Anolis sagrei: one gene and its partner. The protein of the gene in region 1 binds, or shares a complex with, the protein of each later gene. Links are inferred from orthologs where the notes say so. Each region holds a gene or a part of one and is shown on either strand. Other genes may lie near its edges. The genes, in order: ATP2B1 and NPTN.

What was found.
Region 2: the proteins of ATP2B1 (region 1) and NPTN are in contact, whole or in part, in a cryo-EM structure (PDB 6A69), measured with the Homo sapiens proteins. The link is inferred for Anolis sagrei from reciprocal best matches to the Homo sapiens genes ATP2B1 and NPTN. Residues at the interface, in NP_001353449.1 of Homo sapiens: Phe954, Asp955, Ile956, Asp957, Glu996, Arg997, Asn998, Val999, Glu1039, Gln1040, Leu1042, Trp1043, Ile1045, Phe1046, Met1049, Gly1050, Leu1052, Leu1053, Gln1056; in NP_036560.1 of Homo sapiens: Arg245, Ser246, Asn248, Arg332, Arg334, Pro339, Pro342, Phe343, Gly345, Ile346, Glu349, Ile350, Ile352, Leu353, Ile356, Ile357, Tyr360.

Annotation. Positions count from the first base shown.
Region 1 is NC_090025.1:153,216,300-153,226,262, reverse strand, and holds the start of ATP2B1 (plasma membrane calcium-transporting ATPase 1), read left to right. Parts: upstream 1-6,197; 5' UTR 6,198-6,363; intron 6,364-6,659; exon of another isoform or gene 6,660-6,764; intron 6,765-9,963. UniProt on the Homo sapiens protein: Catalyzes the hydrolysis of ATP coupled with the transport of calcium from the cytoplasm to the extracellular space thereby maintaining intracellular calcium homeostasis.
Region 2 is NC_090029.1:30,878,807-30,888,157, reverse strand, and holds the start of NPTN (neuroplastin), read right to left. Parts: upstream 3,877-9,351; 5' UTR 3,738-3,876; coding exon 3,626-3,737; intron 1-3,625. UniProt on the Homo sapiens protein: Probable homophilic and heterophilic cell adhesion molecule involved in long term potentiation at hippocampal excitatory synapses through activation of p38MAPK. May also regulate neurite outgrowth by activating the FGFR1 signaling pathway.

The DNA of each region.
Region 1 (9,963 bases):
CAGGAAATATCCCAGAAGACAATAATGTATGGTTGTTTGTTTGGTTTTTTTAAAAAACAATGTGATGATGAAAGGTAGTATTACAAACCATTGACAAATTTTCCTGTGCAAATCACTCTGAAACGAATAGGATTGCTCAAGAGTGGAACTACCGTACTATATAGCTTCCATATACAGTGATACAGATAGGTCTCCTTTATGTAGAAATCTTAAATACTCCAAACCCCTCCAAAGACCACTGCCTCTTAGGAAATGGGGTTATTTATACATCCAGAACCTGCCAATAGTGGTGTGCAGGCAGGCTTTAAACCAGACTATGAAGGCAAGCATGAAGCAATCCTATTGGTTGCCACTTGTATTGAGCCTAGAGATAATTAAAAAGAATAATAAGGGAGAAAGCATTTCCCCCTCCCTTCCTGGCTACTTTGCTAAAATGGCAGAAAGTGTGCTGACAGCTAGGAAAATGTCTGGTTTTTTTTTACAAGGGTCTTTTCATAAGTGAAGTCCTCTCGCCTTCCCCCTTTTCTCTTTCCCCTGTCAGGGTTACTTCAGGAGAGATGCAGCAGATGTTGGACTAGCCTCCTTTCCTTCATTCATACGTATTCCAAATGCCAAAACACCTGAAATCTGAAAAATGTATGGTCCCAAGCATTTCAGATAAGGGGGACCCTATCTGTATTTGTAACAGAGTTTCCTGGAGACTATGCTTCTTAGCATAGTGTACCTCCCCAGGAGACATTGCAAGAGGCATTTTGACTGTTAGAGACCCACTTAGCTCAGAAAAGGAGTAAATTACTTCATGTAGCAATTAATTATGGCAAACTATTCTTGCTGACAAGAAACTAACATGAAGACAGTAATCTCTACTCCCACCTTCTCAAGAGGAAAGCATTATGTGATAAACCCTTTTCTCTGCCCACCGTTGCAGGGTAATAAAGAAGTAATAAAAGAAGGCTGAGGCAACCTTGTCAAATTAATCTGATAGCACTTTTTCTTCCAGATTTTATAATATGATTACAAGTTCACATCAGAAATACTGAAGGGAATGTCTTTAAAAGTGCAGATGTATAAGCACTGTTTCTGTACTAAGCTTAAGAAAGGATTTGTACTGATTTGCACAACTAATCTCTACTATTTTTCTTAAATCTTACTTATTGGCAAGACATATACAGTTCTAGATTACTTGTTAAGATGAACTAAATAGGAGTAAAGTTTTGGCAATTAAGACTCCTGTGGCTATGGTTTCATTATCTGAATGTCTCTGTAGAGTTCTGCTACAAAATTCCTCACAATACAAATACATCACTTGATAGGAGTGGGGTTTACTGCATATAAAAACATATAGGATTTGTTTTTTGTTTCTACAATGTTCTACATTGTACTTAGATACATGGTAAACAAATTGCTTTAATCAATGTAGATCTGATCACTGAAAAGCAGCTCCAAAGTTTACTCTGTAACCTAAAATTGCCTTGTCAAAATGTGGAACAGCATATAACCAAAACTTACAGACTCCTCTATGGTGCAGGTAAATAATAATTCACCTTTATATTCAGGTTATGTCATTACATTTAAAGCCTCTTAAGAAGTCATCCTTTTACTTATGGCCTCTGGTAGAGAAATTATGTATGCCAATTATTTATCTTCTTTCTCTTTGAGGGAGTGGGTAAAAAGCTTAATTATTTCCATTATGTTCTATGGATTGCACAAAGACTGTCCCCATCACTATTTTAATCTGTTTGTCTACACTAGGATTCTCTATTGTCATTAAGAACAACTTCTAAAAGCACTATTGTTCAAACACTTAGCAATGTTTGTATCTTTCGCATTTGAACATGTCCACTGAAGCATGTGCATAAATACCTGCTAAATAAGTCAACATTTTATACTATAACATTTTATAAAATGGGCTGCTGTCCATAGAATCTTATGTCACATAAAAATGGTTAGCCTTTAAGTTGCCATCACACTCTTTGTTATTATTTCCAGTGGAAAGGAAAAAGAAAATATCTGGCAACTAGAAGATGTGAGTGGAACACATCTGCTTGAGTCAGAAAACTGTTTCTTCAAATGCAGTTTTCAAATGTTGGGGAAGGCTTGCTGAGTTACAATGGCCAGTACAAATGAGAACACCGAGCTGCAGAGGGATTGAAAAAGAATTTTGCATGATCTGAGGATGTATTTTATTCATACTGGGAAGGCATGCAAGAAAATCCCATAATTTAGTCTGCAGGATGCATCTGTTTCATTGTTTTGATTTTTTTCAATTGACCTAAATATATCAACTGTGAGGTAATACTTAGCTGCATTCAGTCAGGAAACGAATATTGCAGTGGTTCCTCCTGTCTGATTGCATTCTTCAATGAAAGACTTTTTAAAGTGTCAAACTTATGTCAAACAAGAGTGACAGAGCATGAGACCAAGCCAAACAAAGAATAATATAGCAATAATAACTGAACTGATAAGATCTTTTAGATTCATTTGTTTATAGGGACTCAGACCCTACAGCTCAGCAGAAGCTTGCCTTGCTCTTCCTTCACAGCACAATGGCCTTGAACAGTCACAGATGCCATATTGTATGTATAGATACAATGCAAAAGGAAATGGTCTAACTGAGGCCCAAGTCCAATTGAATTAGCCATCTTTAAACTCATTGGCCTCAATCCAATTAATTCTTGCTAGACATACTGACACAGTGGGAATTTAATAAAATACTAAAATAAGCTACATTAATTCAATGGGCCCACTTAAATTGGGATTAGCTATTGGATTTAGGCCACTGCAGTTTACAGGCTTAAGTATGCCTAACTGCACCAGACTCAGATTTATGATTGAACTGAAGAAGATAGGATGATAAGCTCAGAAAACAAAACAGCAGGTTTGTTTGGGCTTGCTCATCAACTTTTTAAATATTAGTTTTGATGTATGAACACATGCAACTTTGCTAGATTGTACATTACAGTTTTTTTTAGTTTCTTCTGTGTTGTTGCTGCTGCTGTTCTGAATTACTTATAAATTATGTCCACCCTAAAATGAACATGTCATGAGGATTTCTTGAAAAGATTTGTTCAAAGTGGGGTTGCCTTTCTCTGAGTTCAAGTTGATTTGTCCAAAGTCAGCAAGTGATTTTGATGGCTGAGCAAGCATCCAAACTCTGGTCTCCCAGAGTCCTAATACTATATTCATGTTAGCTCCCACATATTGATGTAAGACTAAGATTGAACCAGCCAGATGTCGTTGCGAGTTGGACTATCACTCTGAAGGCCAGGGTTCGAATCCCCATTTAGCCATGGAAATATATGAGATTGGTCACGTTACACTCTCTCAGCCTCAGAGGAAGGCAAAGGCAAGCCCCTCTAAACAATTTTTGCCAAGAACACTGTTAGGCAAAAGTAAAAAAATACTTGGAGGTACACAACAACCTGTTCTATGCTCTCTACTGGAATGTTTTCATTCTAGTTCACTATGAATCTGACAGATCAGTTTTGAACATTCAGGTAATTATTATCCATTCTCATATTGCCTAATGCCTAATTTAATAGGGAGTAGTGCTGGGTTTTTTTAGTGGCATTTCCCCTTCTTTTGCATTATCAGTAGGATCAAAGGGAATAAAGGATTTTAAAAAATATCAATAATACTTTCTTATATTTGATTGTATGACACAGCTCTTTCATTCATTTCTGTAATGAGAAAAAATATTCATATTCATATTTGTGAGAAACCATCTAATTTACCTGCAGAAAAACTTCTGCAGAAAAACATGAATATTTCAAAATGCAGTATTCTTTATATAAAACCGTGACTGCAAAAATTCATCTTATCCTTTAAGAAAATTAGGGATCTAAGGAGGTTTTGCTTAAGTACCAGAAGGCTAGGACTCGCTGAGAAACAATGTAAAATCACTATAGGAAGCATATGTTTTAACAAACTTACTCAATGAACTGCCAACACTTCTAGGTCAGATTGCAGGAGATACATCTGGTTACATCCCAAATAGTCTACTGCAACGCACTCTATGTTGGGTTGCCTTTTAAGACTGTTTGGAAGCTTCAAGTGGTCCAATGCCGGGAGGCAGACTGGGGTACAGGGAGCACACAACCCCATTACACCAGCTCCACTGGCTGCCAGTCTGCTACTGAGTGCTGGTTTTAGACTATAAAGCCCCAAACAGTTCTGGCCCAGCTTACGAGTCCGAATGTATCTTCCTCTATGAACCATTTCAGAGGTTAAGATTGTCCTGGGAGGCCCTGCTCTCAGTCCCAACTCCTTTGCAGGCACGACTGGTGGGGACTAAACGGTGCCTTCTCAGTGGTGGCCCCTCATCTGTGGAACTCCCTCTCCAACGAAATCAGATCTGTTCCTTCTCTCTTGATCTTCAGGAAAAAAACTCAAGATGTGGCTTTGGGACCAAGCTTTTGACAAATAATTAGAGCAGTGCAGTAAGAGACAACGAATCAATCTGATTGACAAATGGAATGGCCCTGGATTATATTTCGGATGGCGCGATTTTAATTAATGCTTTAATTATTCCTGTTTTAATTTTTTGGTTTTAATTGTAATGGTTTATTTGTTATATGTTCTGTATGGCATTGAATTGCTGCCTGTTGTAAGGCCACCTTGAGTCCCCTCTGCAGTGAGAAAGGCGGGATACAAATATGGTAAATAAATAAAAATAAATCTGATGAAGTAGCTTCGTTCTCCCTAAGCACAAGTTGAGGCCTTTTATCTGTTACCTTCCCACAGAGCGGTACCTATTGATCTACTCACATTTGATGTATTGTCGAATGTGCGGAATCACTGGGTTGTTGTAGGTTTTACGGGCTGTATGGCCATGTTCTAGAAGCATTCTCTCCTGATGTTTTGCCTGTATCTGTGGCAAGCATCCTCACAACCTCTGAGGATGCTTGCCAGAGATGCAGGCAAAACTCCAATAGAGAATGCTTCTAGAACATGGCCATACAACTCGAAAAACCTATAACAACCTACTCACGTTTGCATGTTTTTGGATTGCAGGGTTGGCAGAAGCTGGGCCTAACAGCAGGAGCTCATCCTGCTCCCCGGATTCAAACCACCGACCTTTCGGTCAGCAATACGTGCCACCGGGGCCATGTGTGTGGGTGTATACATATATGCAAAATATGAGTGAAAAATCCCAAACACTTCTGGTTCCAAACCTTTGGGGAGAACCCCAGAATTGAGTGTTTTTACTGTTCAGTGGCGTCTCTGAGTGTAAACGGTTACGCTTCTCACTGACGTTGCTGGGCATTAAACCTGCCTGACAGTGCACCCACACTGTCGAATTAATGCTGTTTGACACCACTTGGAAGACCTTAAGCGGCTGAGAGGGGAAAGGAAGGGGCCTGAGTCTGAGAGGAATGGTGGGAGTTGAAGTCCAAAACACCTGGAGGGAGTGAGGGAGGGAGGGCCCAAGTCTGCCCATGCCTGACGTAGACGGACCCTGAACGAGGCTGGCTCCAGCAGGCTGCCCTCCGCGGGGTTCTTACGTCCTACTCGGGAAGGCGAGGCCATGACTCAACACGCCGCGATTCGTCATCTCGGTTCTGACGGAGGGGAGACGCCAGCTGCTCCCCCCGCGCGATGGGGTGGGTGGGGGGAGAAGGGAAGCTCCTCCGTTTCCTTCAGGGAGGCCTGAGGGGGAAGGAGCCCCCAAGCCCTGTCTTTGCCCCTCCCCCACCCCTTCTTGCGTGCTGACAGGAGCTGCCGCCGCCGTGCTTTTCAGGGATTTGCGCGTTTGTAGTCGTTTGACCCCGAAGGCTTTCCGTCCACGAAGTGACCAACTCCTACCTTCCTCCCCCCCCCCCCCGTCCACCCACCCCGCGCGCCCTCATATGAGCACGCGCGCGCTGATAGAAACCGACGGCGCGCTCTGCTGGCGAGCGTTCCCCGCTCTTGCCGTGGGGCGGGGGCGAGTGGGAGCGTGGTCAAGCCACGGCAAAGGAGCGAGAGAGAGAGAGAGAGACAAGGAGGGAGAGCGCCCCCCTCACCGCGCTCCCAGCAAAGTCAACGACCCGAAGCCCGCCGGGCCCCATCAAATGCCTGGGCCCGGCCCACTGACGTCATGGAAACAAGCACGTCAGGCGACGGCAGCCAATCGGAAGAGGGGAAGGAGGCGGGGAGAGAGGAGCGGGCCCCGCCCCTCTCGGGCACCAATCCCAAACCCCGCCCCTTTCGCTCGCGCTCTCTCTCTCTCTCTCTCGCTCCCCCGCCCCTCCTCCTCCTCCTCTCTCCTCACGCCCTCGAGGGGCTCCCTCCTCCGCCGACCCTGTCACGTGACGCCGACTGGGCCACGCTCGGAACCTTGCCTGAGGTGGGCGAAGAAGAAAAAAAAACAGAGGCGCAGAAGTGAGTGGAGTGGGTTGGAGCGACCCCTTGTTCCCCTTGCGCGTGGGAGGTGGAGGTAGAGGTGGCCCCGCCCCCCTTTGGTGGCTGGAGGCGGCGAGGAAGAGCCGGCGCTTCTGTACGGGTCCTGAGAGGGGGGCAAAAGGACGCCGCCTCGCAGGGCTGGCGAGGGCGAGGCGGAGGCGCTTTGGCGGGGGAGCCTGCTGCCGAGGGCGGGGCCTTCCTCTCTCCTCCCTCCCTCCTCCGCCCGCCCTCCCTCCCCGGTCGCAGGCGGGCTCGGCGGCGGCGGCGGCTCGGGCGCTCGCTCCGGGGTGGGGTGGGGGGGACCTGCGGTTGGTTGGTTGCTTGTTTGGTCGGGCGAGGCGAGGCAAGGCAAGGCGAAGCAGCGCGTGGAGGAACCTGAGGTAAGCATGGCTGAGGCGAAGGGAGAGGAAGGGCGCGGAGGGCGGCGTCGGGTTGGGGCTCCCTCGGAGACACAGAGAGAGAGAGAGGCGCAGGTGGTGGAGTCCGCAGGCCCCGCGGGGATTAGCCAAAGCGGAGGAGGAGGAGGAGGAGGATGAGCAGCCCCCGCCGGTGCAGCAGGGCCTGCGCCTCCTCGCCTCTCCCCACCGCCTCCTCTTCCTCTTCCTCAGTGGGCCACGGGGAGCCCACGCCGCGGTGTGTGACCTTGAGGGCAGCCACTTGCCTCCACCTGGAAGGAGGGAGGAAGGGAACGGAGGGAGAGGAAGGAAGGGGGAATGGATGTGGGGACTGGTAGGTTGCCCTTTCTGGTCTCCCCAACCAACCCCCCTTTTTAACCCCCCTCCCCCTCCCCAGGTGCGCATTATTTTTCCTCTTCGGAAGACCCCCGCCGGTGAAGGTGTTTCTTGGGTCTGCTGGGTTAAGTAGCCGGGATTAGGCGGACGCTGCTGCACGGCATTCTCATCCCCAACAGCCTCGGGAGTTTATTATATTCACATACACACGCACACAAACACACATATATGTATATATATAGAAAGAGCACACTCAGAAATTCCTGGTGTGTGGCTGTCGTCCACACATATGTACATATGTAAACGCGCGCACACAGCTGGGATTATATATTAGAGAGGAAACAGAAATGGTGTGTGTGTGTGTATGTATGTATAGACAGATAGATACTACCTGTACACATGTAAATACACGTAGCTGGGATTATATATTTGAGAGAGAACAGATAGAAATACCTTGTGTGTGTGTATATGTATGTATGTATATACCATCCAAACATATCTACAGGATTACTAGAGAGAGAGAGAGAACAACCTGCTGTTTGTGTATATATGTAGTGCCTGTACATAGGTAAATACACACACATAGCTGGAATCATATATTAGCGAGAAAACACATAGAAATACCTGGGGTGTGTGTATATAGCGCCCACACATATACATATGTAAATACACATAGCTGAGATTCTATATTGGAGAGAGAAAACACATAGAAATACCTGGTGTGTTTGTGTATAGCACCCACACATATGTATATGTGGAAGCACACATATAACTGGGATTATATATTAGAGAGAAAGCACATAGAAATACCTGGTGTGTGTGTGTGTGTGTATAGCACCCACACCTGTAAATATGTAAACACACACACATAGCTGAGATTCTATATTAGAGAGAGAAAACATGTAGAAATGCCTGGTGTGTGTGTGTGTGTGTGTATAGCACCCACACATATGTATATATGTAAACATATATATACCTGGGATTATATATTAGGGAGAGAGAGAACACATTGAAATCCCTGGTGTGTATGTATATTTAGCACATATATGTCATATATAAAGACACACACCACAGGGACTATACACACACACACATGCTTACATGCACACACAGTGTGTACATACAGTATCTCTCCTCCTATCCAGGAGCTAGACACTGGTTTTCTCAGCTGTGCATATAAAGGGTTCTGGAAATGGACGTCTGAGCCTTGAATTCAGGTCTCCAGGGCAGTCAGAATAAAGAGAAAGGGGTGGCTTTCCTCTCCCACCTTCTGAGCCTCTTGCGCCATCCACACTCAGGAAGGCATGAGAATAATTTTTAAAAGCAGGGGGATGGCTATGCTTCCCCTCTTTTCTGCATGACTACTCTCTCACTGGTTCGTCAAAGGGTTGATGTGCTTTATAAACTGGCTAAGTAAAACCCTGTGAGAATGCATGAGGTTGCAGTAAGTCTGTTTGCTGTGTGGAGGTATGCACATATGCGCGCCGAAGTGTATTGCTGTTATGAACTCTGATAAGGGATGTCAGCTGCGTCCCCAGATGAATGCAGCTTGGGCTAGGGAGTGTGTATCAGAACAGCTTTTGGGTGATGTATTCCTTTGGATCTCATGAGCCTCGTGTCTTTACTGCAGGCCAAGTGGTACTCCATACCTTTGGTTGTTTCAGCACCAGGAGTTCAGGAGGAAGGGAGTATGATGAGGGGTGAGGTGGAGAGTGACTGTTGCTGGCTGTACTTCATACTTCTCTCCAGCAGTGCCTATATAAAATGGTACTTGGAAGATGGCTAAATGAGAATACCTTCATACATTCATCTCATAAACAGCGGGCACATTTAACATTTAAGGCTGTGGTATTGGACAGCAACATTAATAGGAACTGATAAAAGTTGGGAGTGTCTGACCTTGGTGTTTCTAATATGTGTTGTAGCTCCTAATGTAAGAATTATACAGTTTCACTAAAACAAGGTAGGAAGTGCTTAGCTGAAATATTTCTCTCTTCTTGGCCTGTGCCTTTGATCCAAATATGTTTTAAAATGTTCTGAGTAGTTGTCATTTTGTCTGTGCCACAGGTCTTTTCATCTACTGAGAAAGGTAAATTTAAAAAGTATGAGCTATTATATGTGGAGTATAACAATGATTTCATTGACACACAGACTAACACATTTTATATTTTTCATTGTAAATAACTAATATCCAAATTTGGGTTGCTTGGCTTTTAAACAGTTGATGTAGCATAATGCATCTTATTTCTGTATACACACTTATTTTCCTTATACATGTCACTGTTATATTAGCCTTCACCCAGTTTGGAATTTTGGGATAAACAGAGGAAGACAATTGGACAGCTCTCCTGAACAAATATTGCAGAAACAACCTCTGTGATAGGGTCCAAAATTACTTGAAGGCACATGGCGATGACATAAATTAGCATGTAAAGTTCATGTGAACTATAAATACAAAATACTGCTATGTCATGAAAGGCGAATGCTCTAGATATGTTCTGCAATGTATCTTGTTGAGAAGCCTTTGAACGGTGTGGTACACAAACATAAGTTATTGACAATATATTTAAACTAATTGTGACTAGAAGGAATGCAAGCCTTCAGTCTATGTATGTGGAAAGGGATATCATAGGAACATGTATGTTCCAGAAGCACACACTTACAGCCATTATACTCATTAGGATCTAACCTTATACTGTGGCTAATAGTTGGAAATTGAAAGGAGTTTGAAATGTGTGCCAATAGAACATTATAATTATAATTTATACATTATAATTTATTTTGCTGCTCAGCAATAGCAAGACATTTTGGAATGAGGCAAAGTCAGTGTATAATAGCGAACAGTAAA
Region 2 (9,351 bases), on another chromosome or scaffold:
GTAGGCAAAACGTCAGGAGAGAATGCTTCTGGAAATATGGCCAGACAGCCTGGAAAACACACAACAACCCAGTGATTCCAGCCGTGAAAGCCTTCAACAACCCTGAGATCATGTTTATTTTGTCGAAGGCTTTCATGGCTGGAATCACTGGGTTGGTGTAGGTTTTTCAGGCTATATGGCCATGTTCTAGAACTCACAACCTCTGAGGATGCTTGCTGTAGATGCAGGCGAAACATCAGGAGAGAATGCTTCTAGAATATGGCCATATAGCCCGAAAAACATACAACAACCCTTGTTTATTTTATTTATTTTCATGGTTTCCTTTATGAATTCCAGACAGGAAATTCAAACAGGCAGGAAGCAGCCAGGCTTTAAAGCTGCTAGAGTCTCAATGGTTCTTAACTATAAGTTCCCAGGTGTTTTGGCCTTCAACTCCCAGAAATCCTAACAGCTGGTAAACTGGCTGGGATTTCTGGGAGTTGTAGGCCAAAACTCCTGGGGAGGGGCCCACAGGTTGAGATCCACTGTAGCTAGACCAGGGGTCCTCAAACTAAGGCCCAGGGGCCGGATGCGGCCCTCCAAGGTCATTTACCTGGCCCTCGCTCAGGGTCAACCTAAGTCTGAAATGTCTTGAAAGCACCCAACAACAATCCTATCTCATCAGCCAAAAGCAGGCCTATACATCCCATTGAAATACTAATAAGTTTATATTAGTTAAAATTATTCTTCATTTTAATTATTGTATTGTTTTAAAGTGTTTTTTGCACTACAGATAAGATATCTGCACTGCGCATAGGAATTCATTCATTTTTTTCCTAATTATAATCCTGCCCACCAACAGTTTGAGGGATTGTGACCTGGCTCTCTGTTTAAAAAGTTTGAGGACCCCTGAGCTAGACAATTTAATGCTAATCAATTAAAAAATTAAATTAAATTAAAAAATTGATTGATTAGCCCAGCCACATGCACCATGGAGGACCTTCTTGCAGCAACACCAGAAGCACTCCAAGTGGCCAGAGACTGGTCAAAGGACATTTAATCAACTACCAAACTCACACATTTTGTATCTTCTCTGTTTGTTTGCTTTGTTCTGTTAGAAATGTAATACTGGCTGCCCTGAGACGAGAAATAAATAAATAAATAAAAAATTTAGAACTAAGGCTTTTGTGGCAGGAAGAAACAATCAGGGCCAGCTAACACCTCCCGACAAAAAGGATTCCCCCAGGCAGGAAGCAGCCAGGCTTTGAACCTGCAAGGCCATTCAATGCCATTCAATGCCAATCAATTCACACTTGCCTCCAGCAGAACAGAACAACCTCTGAGGGGGATGCCTGCCATAAATGTGGGCGAAACGTCAGGAGAGAATGCTTCTAGAATATGGCGATATAGCCCGAAAAACATGCCTGGGCAGGAAGAAACAATCAGGGCCAGCTAAAACCTCCTGACAAAAAGGATTCCCCCAGGCAGGAAGGAGCCAGGCTTTGAACCTGCAAGGCCATTCAATGCCAATCAAGATGACCAACATTCACCCTTGCCTCTAACATTACAACCTCTGAGGGGGATGCCTGCCATAGATGTGGGCGAAACGTCAGGAGAGAATGCTTCTGGAAATATATATATATAAATATATATGAGAAGACCGGTATACAACACTGCCAAATTAATAATAAATAAATAAATTGGGGGGGGGGGGGTTTGAAGACCCTCAAGCCCCCCCCCCTTCCCGTCTACATGCCTGGGCAGGAAGAAACAATCAGGGCCAGCTAACACCTTGCGACAAAAAGGATTCCCCCAGGCAGGAAGCAGCCAGGCTTTGAACCTGCAAGGCCATTCAATGCCAATCAATTCACACTTGGCTCCAGCAGAACAGAACAACCTCTGGGGGGGGGGGGGTGCCTGCCATAAATGTGGGCGAAACGTCAGGAGAGAATGCTTCTGGAAATATGGCTATAGCCTGAAAAACATGCCTGGGCAGGAAGAAACAATGAGGGCCAGCTAACACCTCCTGACAAAAAGGATTCCCCCAGGCAGGAAGCAGCCAGGCTTTGAACCTGCAAGGCCATTCAATGCCAATCAAGCTGACCAATTCCAACATTCACACTTGCCTCCTGGCTGCTTCCTGCCTGGGGGAATCCTTTTTGTCGGAAGGTGTTAGCTGGCCCTCATTGTTTCTTCCTGCCCAGGCATGTTTTTCGGGCTATATGGCCATATTCTAGAACTCACAGCCTCTGAGAATGCTTGCTGTAGATGCAGGTGAAACATCAGGAGAGAATGCTTCTAGAATATGGCCATATAGTCCGAAAAACATGCCTGGGCAGGAAGAAACAATGAGGGCCAGCTAACACCTCCTGACAAAAAGGATTCCCCCAGGCAGGAAGCAGCCAGGCTTTGAACCTGCAAGGCCATTCAGAAACAATCAGGGCCGGCTAACACCTTGCGACAAAAAGGATTCCCCCAGGCAGGAAGGAGCCAGGTTTTGAACCTGCAAGGACATTCAGAAACAATCAGGGCCAGCTAACACTTTGCGACAAAAAGAATTCACTCAGGCAGGAAGCAGCCAGGCTTTGAACCTGCAAGGCCATTCAGAAACAATCAGGGCTGGCTAACACCTTGCGACAAAAAGGATTCCCCCAGGCAGGAAGCAGCCAGGCTTTGAACCTGCAAGGCCATTCAGAAACAATCAGGGCCAGCTAACATCTTGTGACAAAAAGGATTCCCCCAGGCAGGAAGCAGCCAGGCTTTGAACCTGCAAGGACATTCAGAAACAATCAGGGCCAGCTAACACTTTGCGACAAAAAGGATTCCCTCAGGCAGGAAGCAGCCAGGCTTTGAACCTGCAAGGCCATTCAGAAACAATCAGGGCTGGCTAACACCTTGCGACAAAAAGGATTCCCCCAGGCAGGAAGCAGCCAGGCTTTGAACCTGCAAGGCCATTCAGAAACAATCAGGGCCAGCTAACACCTCCTGGCAAAAAGGATTCCCCCAGGCAGGAAGGAGCCAGGCTTTGAACCTGCAAGGCCATTCAATGCCAATCAAGCTGACCAACATTCACACTTGCCTCCAGCAGAACAACCTCTGAGGATGCTTGCTGTAGATGCAGACGAAACATCAGGAGAGAATGCTTCTGGAAATATGGCCATATAGCCCGAAAAACATGCCTGGGCAGGAAGAAACAATCAGGGCCAGCTAACACCTCCTGACACAAAGGATTCCCCCAGGCAGGGAGCAGCCAGGCTTTGAACCTGCAAGGCCATTCAATGCCAATGAATTCACACTTGCCTCCAGCGGAACAGAACAACCTCTGGGGGGGGGGGGGATGCCTGCCATAAATGTGGGCGAAATGTCAGGAGAGAATGCTTCTGGAAATATAGCCAGGCAGCTGGGAACACTCAGAGCGACCCATACATAGCATTATATAATATGAATCATGCCAGTCTCCTTGGGGGCAAAGTCACAATGTGGAGGGCTTCCCCAGACTCCCCTTGGTGGGGTCCCCAAAGGGGCGCCCTGACCTCCCCTCAAGGCCCGCCTCCTCCCCCGCCAGCGCCTGTCAATCACCCCCTCAGAGAGGCCCTCCCCGCCATGGCCGCCTCTCTCTCCTGCCTTCCTTCTTTCCCTCCCTCACCGTTCTGGGCGCCGGTCGGCGTCGGGAAAAGGCTGCCTGCCGTCGCCAAGAGGAAGGAGAGAGCCGCCGGGAGCGGCCCGCATCGCCGCCGCCGCTGCATCATCATCATCATCGGGAGGCTGGAAAGGACGACGCCGGAGAAGGCGAGAAGGAGGAAGGCGAGGAGCCAAGGAAAGAGAGGCGCCCGCTCTCCCCCTCAGGGCTGTTCTACCGCAGCGCCGGAGCCTCGCGAGAACTGCGCCCCCACCTCTCGCGAGAAGCACCAACACCATCCAATAAATAAATAAAGGAATAAGGAGATGCGGGAGAAGGAGGAGGAGGAAGGGGGCGGGGCCTGGCCAGGGGAAGCCACGCCCCTTCTCGCCCTCTCCCGCCCGCCCAGCCTCACCGTGTCACGTGACAGCTCCTTCAGCAATGCGGGTTCAAGGCTTCTTCTTCTTTTTTTTTGGAATGCGAAAAATCCGGGTTGATCTAAAACGGATCCGAGATTCCCCCCCTTACACTGCATTAGATGCTCATTGTAGACACCAAGAATGCACTGCAAGGCAGTTAAGCAGCATTACATGGGGCTGCACTGTCATACACATGCATTATTACCTCTGCTATGTATTTTTATTAGTATTACATTGTAGATTTTATGTATTATATTAGTATTTGTATTATGAGTGTTGCATTACCTATTATATGTATTGTATTAGCATTAGTATGAATTATTACTATTACATTCCATATTAAATGTATTATATTTGTATTACTATGTATTATTAGTATTACATTCCATAATATATATATTATATTCATATTCTCATTAGTATTAGTATGTATGTATTATTACCATTTGTATATATAATTAGTATTACATTACCTATTATATGTATTATACTACTATTAGTATGTATTATTACTTATATGTATTATATTAGCATTAGTATGTATTAGTATTACATTCCATATTAAATGAATTATATTTGTATTATTATATATTATTAGTATTACATTACCTATTATATGTATTATATTAGCATTAGTTTGTATTAGTATTACATTCCATATTATATGTATTATATTCATATTAGTATGAATTATTAGTGTTACATTCCATATTATATGTATTATATTCATATTTATATGTATTATGAGAATTATATTCCATATTAAATGCATTATATTAGTATTGGTATGTATTATTAGTATTACATTCCATATTATATGTATTATATTCATATTAGTATGAATTATTAGTATTACATTCCATATTATATGTATTATATTCATATTTATATGTATTATGAGAATTATATTCCATATTAAATGTATTATATTAGTATTGGTATGTATTATTAGTATTACATTCCATATTATATGTATTATATTAGCATTACTATGTATTATTAGTATTACATTCCTTATTATATGCATTATATTCATATTTATATGTATTATGAGAATTATATTCCATATTAAATGTATTATATTAGTACTGGTATGAATTATAAGTGTTACATTCCATATTATATGTATTATACTAGTATTAGTATGTATTATTAGTATGACATTCCATATTATATGTATATTAGTATTAATATGCATTATTAGTATTACATTCCATATTAAATGTATTATATTCGTATTAGTATGTGCTATTAGTATTACATTCCATATAATATGAATTATACTAGTATTAGTATGTATTATTAGTATTACATTACACATTATATGTATTATATTCGTATTAGTATGCACCGAGTGTGCCAGTGACCACTGGGACCACCTGGACTGGTTTATGCCAGAGCCTTTGCAGTTCGATTTTAAGGTCTTGATAGCGGCTGAGTTTTTCCTGTTGCTTTTCCTCAATGCGACTGTCACCCGGTATGGCGACATCAATCATCCAGACTTTTTTCTTTTCCACAATCGTGATGTCTGGCGTGTTGTGTTCCAAAACTTTGTCAGTCTGGATTCAAAAGTCCAACAGTATTTTTGCGTGTTCATTTTCCACTCCCTTTGTAGGTTGATGATCCCTTTACCAGTTCTTGACTCCTGGCAGGTGGTACTTGTGACATTAGTTCCAGTGAATCATTTGGCCCACAGAGTTGTGCCTCTGTTTGTAGTCCGTCTGTGCAATTTTCTTGCAGCAGTTGTGGAGATGATCCATGGTTTCATCAGCTTCCTTGCACAGTCTGCATTTTGAGTCATCTGCTGATTTTTCAATTCTGACCTTAACTGCATTTGTTCTGGTGGTAGTGGTGGTGGTGGTGGTTGTTGTTGTTGTTGTTATTATTATTATTAGCCTTCTCTGTTAAAGAGTACAGGAGCCACACCAAACTGTAACTTCCAGGATTCGGTAGCATTGAGCCATAGCAGTTGAAGTGCTGTCAAACTGCATTAATTATCCGGTGTAGATGCATCTTTTGAGTTACAGATATATATTTGGGCTAAATCAGAATCCAACAGCAGGTGGCGCAGATGGGCTCCTTGAGTTCAGAGGAGAGGATTCACACTTGAAATAATATGCTGAGCAAAAGAAAGAGAAATATTCCTGTATGAGGAATTGATAGGACTGCATAGTATAGCAGAATGAAAGCTTTGGAAAGGACTGCAAGGATTACGTACTCCAAGTCCCTGCTGTACAGGAACATATATAAATACAGGCATTCCAAAATCCCCCAAACTGATGCAGTTCGACATGGCTTTCTTTGTATCGGCTCAATGCTCTGGCATCCTGGGATTTGTAGTTTGGCGAGGCAACAAAGACCTTGTAAACTACGACTCCCATGGTTGCATAGAATTGAACCAAGACAGGTAAAGTAGTGAAAAATTGCATTAATTCTACAACGTAGAGGCACCCCTACACTTCTGGTACCAAGAATTTTGGATAAGGGATACTCAACCTAGCGCCCAGACACGCATCAAGGAACATGAAAGGCACTGCAGACTACTTCAACCAGAGAAGTCAGCCATAGCAGAGCACCTGATGAACCAGCCTGGACACAGCATATTATTTGAGAACACAGAAATGCTGGACCACTCTCACAGCCACCATGTCAGACTACACAGAGAAGCCATTGAAATCCACAAGAAGCATGTGGACAATTTCAACAGAAAGGAGGAAACCATGAAAATGAACAAAATCTGGCTACCAGTATTAAAGAACTCTAAAATTATAACAGCTAAACAACAGAGAGGAAGAAACCAGGCACAGATTAACACCTCCCAGCAACAGATTTTCCCAGGTTCAGGCAGGCCTTCAAATGCTAATGAAGGTGATTAGCTAAACATTCACACCTAACTGCAGCAGGGAAGAACTCCTTGCCCCACCCCAGCCATTCCACAGATATATAAACCCATTGTCCTAATTCCAACAGACCTCTACCTCTGAGGATGCTTGCCATAGATGCAGGCGAAACGTCAGGAGAAATGCCTCTAGAACATGGCCATATAGCCCGAAAAAACCCACAAGAACTGAGATACTCAACCTGTTTATTACCCACAGCCATTGTTCTGTGGTGTCTCGCAGGATAGAGTATTGTCCCCCATGTTGTTTAACATCTACATGAAGCCATTGGGTGAGATTATTGGGGGTTTTGGAGTTCGATGGTATCTGTATGCAGATGATATCCAACTCTATTACTCCTTTTCCAGTAGATGCTAAGGAGGCTGTCCAGGTCCTGAACTGGTGCCCGGCCGCTGTGACAGTCTGGATGAGGGCGAACAAACTGAAGTTGAATCCAGACAAGATAGAGGCACCCCTGGTCAGTCGCAAGACCGAACAAAGTTAAGGGTCTCAGCCTGGGCTGGATGGGGTTACACTCCCCTTGAAGACAGTTTGGGGGTCCTCCTGGATTTATCGCCAAGCCTGGAGTCTCAGTTTGTGGTGGTGGCTGAGGGGAGTTTCGCACAATTAAAACCTGTGCGCCAGCACCTTGCGAAGTCAGCTTTGGCCGCGGTGGTCCATGCTCTCATTACATCCAGGATAGATTACCGCAATGCATTCTACATGTAGTTGCCCTTGAAGACTGTTTGGAAGCTTCAACTAGTCAAATGAAAGGCAGCCAGGTTAATAACTAGGGCGGCATACAGGGAGCATACAACTTCCATGTTGCGTCAGCTCCAATGGCTGCCGGTTTGCTAGCGGGCACATTTCAAAGTGCTGGCTTTGGCCTATTAAGCCCTAAATGGCCTCGGACCTGTTTACCTGTCCGAACGCATTTCCCTTTTTGAACCACTGTGGAAACTAAGATCTTGTGTGGAGGAACTGCTCTCAGTCCCATCACTATCACAGGTGCGTTTGGTGGGGACGAGTGGCAGGGCCTTCTCAGTGATTGCCCCCCGGTTATGGAACTTCCTTCTTGGCAATATGAGATCAGCCCCCTCTCTCCTATCCTTCAGAAGGGTAGTGAAGGCCTGGCCTTTGGGGCAGGGCAAGGAGGCAAAAGGGTGTCCTGAGATAGTTTTTAAACAACCGATTTTAATGTGGATATACCGTATATACTTGAGTATAAGCTGACCCGAATATAAGCCGAGGCACCTAATTTTACCACAAAACTCTGGGAAAACATATTGATTTGAGTATCAGCCCAGGGTGAGAAATGCAGCAGCTACTGGTCAATTTCAAAATAAAAAGAGATACCAATAAAATTATGTTATTTTTTAAAATACTTTTCATTGAATTTTTTGGTGAATGTAATAAAAGAATATATATATAAAAGAATATATATATAAAAGAATATATATATAAAAGGACATATATATATATTGAGGCATCAGTAGGTTATATTCAAAAAATAGGCATCAGTAGGTTGAATATTTACATAAAACTAATTTAAGACTGTCCGATTCTGATGAAACCATTATTCTCACCTTAAGACTGTCCAACTCTGATGAAACCATTATTCTCACCTTCTTCAATGTAAATGTACTTACACATCCTTCCAATAATAATAGAGTAAAATAATAAATGTAATATTAAGAGTAAAACAATAAATGGAATAAAACAATAGTAAATACGGTAAAATAATAAGAGTAAAATAATATATATAAATAAAAATGTAATGTTCGTTTGTGGGATTAACATAACTCAAAAACCACTGGATGAATTCACACCAACACCTACAATCAAAGAGCATTCTGAACTCCAGCAATGATGGAAATGAACCAAACATGGCATACAGGACTCCCATGACCAACAGAAAACACTAGATGGGTTTGGTAGGCATTGGCCTTCAGCTCGGGAGTTGTAGTTCACCTAAATCCAGAGAGCACTGTGGACTCAAAAAATGATGGATCTGTACCAAACTTGGCACAAATATTCCATATGCCCAAATATGAACACAGATGGAGTGTGGGGGAAATAGACCTTGACATTTGGGAGTTGTAGTTGCTGGGATTTATAGTTCACCTACAATCAAAGAGCATTCTGAACCCCACCAACAACAGAATTGGGGCAAACTTCCCACACAAAACCCCCATACTTAAGGCCATCCAGTCCAACTTCTTCACCAGGGCAAGAAAATGTAATCAAAGCCCTCCTGACAAAGAGCCATCCAGCCATAGATATAGATAGATAGATATGATTCACACAGAGAGAGATATAGTATTACAGATTTGAAAGGGACCCCTAAAGAAGGACAATGATACGTTGCGTGTTCCAGAGAAGGCAAACTAGACACTCTCCACATCAACACTGACAAAGAAACAGCAAGAAATACTGTTTACCTACAAGCATAAAG